Danio rerio: one gene and its partner. The protein of the gene in region 2 interacts with the protein of the main gene of each other region in a pairwise test. Links are inferred from orthologs where the notes say so. Each region holds a gene or a part of one and is shown on either strand. Other genes may lie near its edges.

Evidence for each region. The genes of interacting proteins can lie anywhere in the genome.
Region 1: the proteins of zbtb8a (region 2) and kif9 interact in binary tests that used the Homo sapiens proteins (3 or more experiments, as listed by UniProt). The two-hybrid records come from large-scale screens. The link is inferred for Danio rerio from reciprocal best matches to the Homo sapiens genes ZBTB8A and KIF9.

The regions. Positions count from the first base shown.
Region 1 is NC_133182.1:41,641,619-41,645,782, forward strand, and holds the start of kif9 (kinesin-like protein KIF9), read right to left. Parts: upstream 2,826-4,164; 5' UTR 2,684-2,825; coding exon 2,649-2,683; intron 2,472-2,648; coding exon 2,389-2,471; intron 2,270-2,388; coding exon 2,169-2,269; intron 1,566-2,168; coding exon 1,406-1,565; intron 1,311-1,405; coding exon 1,204-1,310; intron 1,132-1,203; coding exon 901-1,131; intron 1-900. Other genes in the region: si:dkey-86l18.10 (uncharacterized protein LOC100535291 precursor), read left to right, coding at 3,053-3,112, 4,029-4,091. UniProt on the Homo sapiens protein: Essential for normal male fertility and for progressive motility of spermatozoa.
Region 2 is NC_133192.1:26,253,605-26,257,171, forward strand, and holds the end of zbtb8a (zinc finger and BTB domain-containing protein 8A), read right to left. Parts: intron 1,322-3,567; coding exon 1,001-1,321; 3' UTR 499-1,000; downstream 1-498. UniProt on the Homo sapiens protein: May be involved in transcriptional regulation.

The DNA of each region.
Region 1 (4,164 bases), on a different chromosome or scaffold from region 2:
GAGAAGCATGTTGTGTGAACAGAAAAAGGAATGTGTCAATAGAGCCGGCATTTAGTACAGGGTAGCGCTCCTTTGAAATTAATGTTGGACCAAGGTGCAGAAGAGGACTGGCCATCCAGAGCCAGAGATATATACACATATATACATATATCGATGATCTGTAGTTGTCCCGTTGATCAAAATGCTAATTTTTTTTAATTATGTAGGATATAATTTTACATCACTTTTCTATATAAATGGATAAGGGACAGCACGGACATTCCTGATAAAGAGCATGTGTTTGTGTGCATGAAAATGTATTATCTTCCCTACCTGTTAAATTTGATTTGTTTGTAAATGAATTTGTTATGAACGACGTTCTCTTAGCTGACAATAATTTCTAGCACCGCTGCATCTCGTCATATTTCATTTACATTGTTTGTTGATTTTATTCAATCAAACTAACATAAGCCTAGTATTTGAGTTAGTGGTACGTTGAGCACAAAAGTTTGTTATATATAAAACATAAAAAACTAAATCTTACCTATGAAATGTTCTGCCTTTGTACTTTGTTTTCTTTGTTTGCTCATTACTACACCCCTACACAGCGCTAAAGTCCAGCATCTTCAGATCGGCTTTAGTCTTGATTAGTGCGGTTGAATGACATTTGTCCTGGGAGCACTGTACAACTGTGGCGACTCTATTGACGCATGCTCCGGGTCTGTATGCTATATCTAATGTATATTATCTATGCATAAAACATTGAAATATTGTAATGGCTAGTCCAGAGTTCTGATTTACACCTGATTGAAAATCCCTGGCAACAATGTAAGGGCTAAGAAACAACTATATTCAATACTGTATATTAAGCTGATCACATCAGCTGATCATCTGTTGACATGCACAACTCATGACTCTCACCTCGAAAAGCAGATTAAGAGCCTCTTCTTCATTGTGAACCAGATGTACAGACAAGCCTTTAACTGACACTCCGCCACCTGGTTCTTCGACCACAGTGAAGAGACCACTACCTGGAGCCTTTCCCTGCTTTAAGCTGGAGAGCAAGTCTACCATAGTCTCATTATAGATTTCCAGAAAGGAAAGATGAACAGAGAAGGTATAATCTGCACGCTGTTCCACTTCCTGGAAAACCTAAGGAATTGACAGATGGTTTATAGCCCATAAATCATAAACGTGTGCTTGTTGATCATGGGTATCAATCACCTCTTGTATGGCTCGAGGAATGATGCCTCTCTGTTTGTAAGTCTCTGCAGCACCAGTCATTGTGTAAGTTTTCCCTGCTCCGGTTTGCCCAAAGCACATTATTGTACCTAAACACACCAAAAAAATTACCAAGCACTTTATTTTTAATGTTTTAACTTGGTTTGTGATTTCAGGAAATGCCAAACGTTTTCAAATGACCAACCATTGTAGCCCTTGAATGCTCCCAGCACTACACTCCGGGCAACACGATCATACAGGTCCTCTTGTGACACATTATACAGCACCCCATTCAGCTGAAATAACCTCACATGATTATTTCTCTTTCCTTTCTTGGAACCCTTCCTTGATCGTACTCTTAAAGTCTCAGAAAAAACAAACAGAAGGACAGTGACACTCAGTCTTAAATATTACTTTCATACAATCTTTTTTTTAATGTGGACACGTTTCCAGTGGTTGGGCTCAGATAATGTGTGCTGTGTTATTCACCTGTGATCTCAAGACTTGCTGAAGGTAAAATAATAATTTACGCACCACTATAATAATAATAATCCTTCTTTAAAAGTTTTACAGAGATCCACTAGTTTAATTTCTATCTAAATAATTTCCCCTCTTTCCTCTTCAATGTCACATATTTTATATTATAATCTGTCTACCTTTTATCGTTTGGGACATTTATGTTTTTCTCTAAGTATACGGAATAACATGCTTTAATGTTATATTGAAAACCAAAATAGCTACCACATACAATATATCTATGAAATGTAATTTAAGAAAATTTACTTTAAGGTAAGCGATTTACACTTTATCTTTTTTACGTTTCTGTAAAGTTTAATATAATAAATGTATTAGGCCGTTATAGTCATCGATACTGTATTTTATTATTTGTAAAAATATACTGGCATACATTGTGCTGTTATATAAGCTCTAGGAGGTGTATTTACTGTAAAAAAGACAAGTGTGTTTACCTGCTGGTCTGGCAGGCATTCAATAAGCTCATGGGCAAAACTGGCTGTGGGTCGGATGCGAATATACACCTTTACTGTAGAGCCATGTGAACTCATGATTCCTGTACATACAGCACGAAAAATATTGTCCAAATAGTTCATTAAAATGTCGCGTTTTGAATCTAGAACCAGTAAATCATAATAATAGTAAACCTAGCGGTTAGAAACGTCAGAAACTCACCTGTGTAACCGACACACAGCCTCGCTGTTGTTGGATACAGTGCTGTTGCTATGACAATAAATCGAGCATGCGCGGCGCAACACCTTTGTGAAGCCAAAAATATTAATTTGCAAACATTATTGTCATATTGTCCAGGTACCAAACTTGCCAACATCAAAAGAAAAACTTTAAAGTGTAAAGGTATTAACAAAAAAACTAACTCTGATATAAAATACACGTTAATATTACAGTAGCGTTAAGAATAACTGAACTGTGTTTACCAGTTACGATAAAGACTAGTGATGTCAGGCAGCATAATAAATAGTTTTGTACTGCCAAAAATTAATTAAAATTTATTTAATGATGAATTACTGATGGGGAAATCAGTGTAAACGTTATAAAATATTTCAACATTCAAAGACACTATTTGTGTATTTTTAAGTAGCCTATATTTTTGTGTTGACATTTTGAGAGTCTTGGTTACAAATCAAAAGCTACTGAATCAATGCGTGAGTCAGTTAAAGTCAACCAACCCTGCATGGACTGCAATAGTTTGATCAGGATGTAACATTAGCAGGTGAATGACCATCAGTTTGATCATGGCTCCTCCCAGCTGAAAGTCAGGTTTGACATACTAAACAAACTGCTGAAACCTCTCCAAGACCTCCAACACTTATGACTGAAAATGAAGTCAGGAGTGTACATCTGTGTTCTGTGTGGTTGTTTGCTAGCACTGCTACTTAAGGTATGTATACATTTCCTCTTTATTCTGACAACATGATTTTTTCCATTTAGTTTATTCAAAAACAGGCCATTTGATAAGTGTTTTACATTATTAAAAATACATTACACACCTATGGAGTGCTCCTGTAGGCTATGTGTGTTTGATGCTTGTGGTTTTTAGTCATTTTTAATTATCTATATAGCTACAGCAGGGAAAATAAGTAGTTTTTTTTTAGATGTGACCATTTGTAGAAAACATATTTCTAAAGGTGGCGTTGACTTGAAAATATCACGGGATGTTGATAACAACAAAAGAAATCTATCTATGCAAAATCTAATTAGTTAACAAATTAATTTATGTGTGGTAAAATGAAATGACAGGGAAAAGGGAACACATGAAGAAAGGAAGCTGTAAAGAGGCAGTGAAAGCACAGACAGCTGAAATCTCTCAGTAGTTGTTTCAATTGTATCTGTATGCAGCCTTTATGATGCAAGCTGAGATTGCATCACTCAGCGATGCAGTGTTAGACACAATGCACTCAATCGAATGAGTGACGTCACTGTGACGGGTAGAGTTAGGTGTGGGGTTAGGTGAGCACATTAAAAAGCATTGGATCCAGCTCAGATTGCACTGCACCAGGTCTGCATCCAGACCCCTCTCTGTTGTTTAGCAACTCTCTGCCCTTCATCATGGTAAATTTATATTAGCTGCTTCAGACCTACAGAACCATCAAGATCTTTACACTCTTGAAGTCTGTGGAAAAAAATCACCTGAGCAATGCATGTGACATCATTCTCCATATGAGAGACGTCTTTAAGCTGCCATCACCAAATATATACATATATATATATATATATATATATATATATATATATATATATATATATATATATATATATATATATATATATTTATTTATATATTCTATTTTATACAGAGTTCGGCCAATGGAGATAATGATTTCACCTTTTTAGCAGATATGGATGAGGACGAAAAAAAGGTAAGTGGTCTGAAATTATTTTCTGGACTTCTTCAAAGCTGACATCTTAACTACAAAACCTCCAATATGACAA
Region 2 (3,567 bases):
GCTATTCATTTTTGGCTAGTATGTTTTCCATTTATGACTTGAACAATTTTATATAATAATATTCAGTCATTAAATTTCTAAGATTATTTTACTTATTAAATAGACACTAGATCTCATTTTAAATATTAATATATAATCTATCATATTGTGCTACAGTATATTATGCACTAATAAATAATAATTTGTCTATGAAGATACTGTTATCTTAATGTTAAAAGTTAATGTTAACAGAGCTTGCCATACCCAATGCACTGAAAGGAACTCAATGTTTGCTCAAAAAGTGAAAAATTCCTAGGGTTTGTGTTAAATGTTGGAATGTGTGAACGTACTCTCCTCTTTTATGTGGGTATAATGTAAATGACGATTCATACGCACATTGCATGTGTATAAAATATATTTTCTTTTGTCCAAATAAATCGAAACACAAATAAATTGAATGTCAAAAGCAAGACAAATAGCAAAAGGTGACACATCCAGAGTGAAGCATAAACACATTCATTCATATATACAATATTTTATTTAGACGCTGTTTATGTTTGGCCTGTGACTGATAATTTGTTTTGTTGAAAATAAATAAATGAGTCTGTTACACATCACAAAAAGTAGGTCGCCTGGACTCCATGCAGCATAAAACATAAAATCATATATGTAAGCCCTGGCATTGACTAAAGTCTGAAAACTGAAGTCAAAGCAAGAAATCTGGCAGAATTACAGAGTGAAGTTCCATTAGATCAGCTCTGTATCAACAATAACTGATCACGCTGTCATCGTGCCCATAAAAGCCTTCTTGAAATAAGCTAAATATACTTTCAATTACAGAAATATACTTGTACTTTTATAAAAGCAGTAATATTTAATACTTTATATATATATTTTTTTAAAAGACAAAGTGTTTTATTTGTACAAAAACGCACATAGATTCCCTTATGAAATTTCAACAGACCTTAAACCGCCAATAAGGCAGCTCTGCCCATTCACACAATCACACACAAATCTATCATCACTTTCCACTTGCTTCCTCGTCGCTGTCGTCCACTTCCTGGATTATGAGATCGGCTCCAGAATCTTCCGCTAGATCATCATCATCCATGACCCATGTAATTTGCCTGTTTTCACTCATGTCCTCGTCCACACCCAACAACAGGCCTTCCTTGTCCTCATTTCCATCTGTTTCATCTGTGATTAAATCATTGTAGCCGCTCTCCTGAATGCAAACGTCACAGAGCCTGTATTTGCGGGTCCCTTCACTGACCACACGTCCACTGACTTCAGTTACATGCCGCTTACACTTCCTGCAGACCAGCTTACGGGCCTGATGAATCTGTCAGTGTGATAAATGGAGAAGGTGTATTTTAGATCTCATGTCAATCTAAATTATTCATTTGATGGACAGAAACATTAGCCAAATACTAATGTACTACATTGTACTGTAAAAAATGCTGGGGGTCCACTAGGCATAGGATGATAACCGGTTTCAAGGTTAACCGCAGTTTAAAAAAAGTCAAGGTTTTAAACACCAAAGTTTTCTATTATACCAATCCTAAGGTATATGAAAGATTTTTTTCGTTTTTTATTTTTACACAACTATTTTATTTTTTTAGTAAAAGTATTTAGTTTTTAGTAACAGTATCTCCAGCAGAAAAGGAACCTCTACATTAAAAGCTACTGTTCCAAAAAGTTTATTAAAATAACATATATTGTGTTCAATGGGGTAAAAAAAGTCTTTGTCAAAATCTTACTAGGTTTCACACAAGTCTTTCATGTTGTCCCAACACAAATCGATTACATTAACTTTGTTATTTTACAAATTTAGGCGGATTGAATATAAAACAATTAAGTTGTCCCCAAAAACTCAAGAATTGTGATTTTTCAGCTCATTTTAAGTAAGTAAGTTTGTAGAAGCAGCAAAACCCTTTTTGTTGAAGTATATAGAAAGTCATTTTAAAATTTAATATTTAAAATGAAATACTACTGTTTTTAAGCTAATTTATTTAATAAATACTAATACTTTCTTGGGCGAGACACTGGCGCAGTAGGTAGTGCTGTTGCCTCACAGCAAGAAGGTCGCTGGGTCGCTGGTTCGAACCTCGGCTCAGTTGGCATTTCTGTGTGGAGTTTGCATGTTCTCCCTGCCTTCGTGTGGGTTTCTTCCGGGTGCTCCGGTTTCCCCCACATACCAAAGACATGCGGTACAGGTGAATTGGGTAGGCTGTGGGTAGTGTGTAAGTGTGTGTGTGAATGTGTGTGGATGTTTCCCAGGCTGGAAGGGCATCCGCTGCGTAAAAACTTGCTGGATAAGTTGGCGGTTCATTCTGCTGTGGCGACCCTGGATTAATAAAGGGACTAAGCCGACAAGAAAATGAATGAATAATACTTTCTCATTAGATACAGGTATCTTATTTTTACACTGTAAAGCCAATAAGTTAGAATAACTCAAACCATTTGAAACCGATTGCAACAAACCATTTAAGCTAACCCTAATGAGTACTGTGAATGTAATCCATTTGAGTAAATGAAGCATTTTGAGCATAGCAAAACCTAAAAATGTCCTGAAGTTTGTTCCCTTAAAATTTTAGGTTGAGTCAACATTTTTGGTAATGTTAGTTTGCGTAATTCCTGCTTCAGTGAGTAAAATGTATGGGTTCATCATTTGAATTACATCTAATTTATTCATAAAATTAATTTGCGTTTTAAGTGATTTGTGGGATAGGCTATTTACTGTATTCTGACCTGATTAGGTATTTCGGCTTATTTTAGGACATACTATACAAATAATGCATCTAATCTTACGCTACTTTTAGGCAATATCTAGAAACCAACACCTATTATATGAGAACACATTGTTTTCTCCATGTCTTGTGAACGTTTACGGTGTCTATCTGTGCTCTAAATCTGCTGGTGTTAGACTAATTGGTGCGATTATGCATTCACAATGGTATGAGGTGGTCAAATGGATGTCTATTATTTTAATTATTAACATAATTTTTTAAAAAACAGATCAGACATCAGAACAGATCAGACCAGACACTGCAAGTATCTGAAAAATAAGTACATTTAAATAACATTTAGTCATTTAGCAGAATTTATAATATAGTCAGGGCAACGCGGTGGCGCAGTAGGTAGTGCTGTCGCCTTACAGCAAGAAAGTTGCTGGTTCAAGCCTCGGCTGGCTCAGTTGGCAATACTGTGTGGAGTTTGCATGTTCTCCCTGTGTTCGTGTGGGTTTCCTCTGGGTGCTCCGGTTTCCCCCACAGTCCAAAGACATGTGGTACAGGTGAATTGGATAATTAGGCTAAATTGTCCGTAGTGTATGAGAAAGAATGAGTGTGTATGGATGTTTCCCAGAGATGGGTTGCGGCTGGAAGGGCATCCGCTGCGTAAAACATGTGCTAGATAAGTTGGCGGTTCCTTCCACTGTGGCGACCACGTATTGATAAAGGGACTAAGTCGAAAAGAAAATAAATGAATGAATCATATAATCAGCTTGCCATATAAGCATATTTCTACAAGATGTGAATTATTGACCAGCAGTGCAGGATGTCATGTGGAGGTGTGAACGGAACAAAC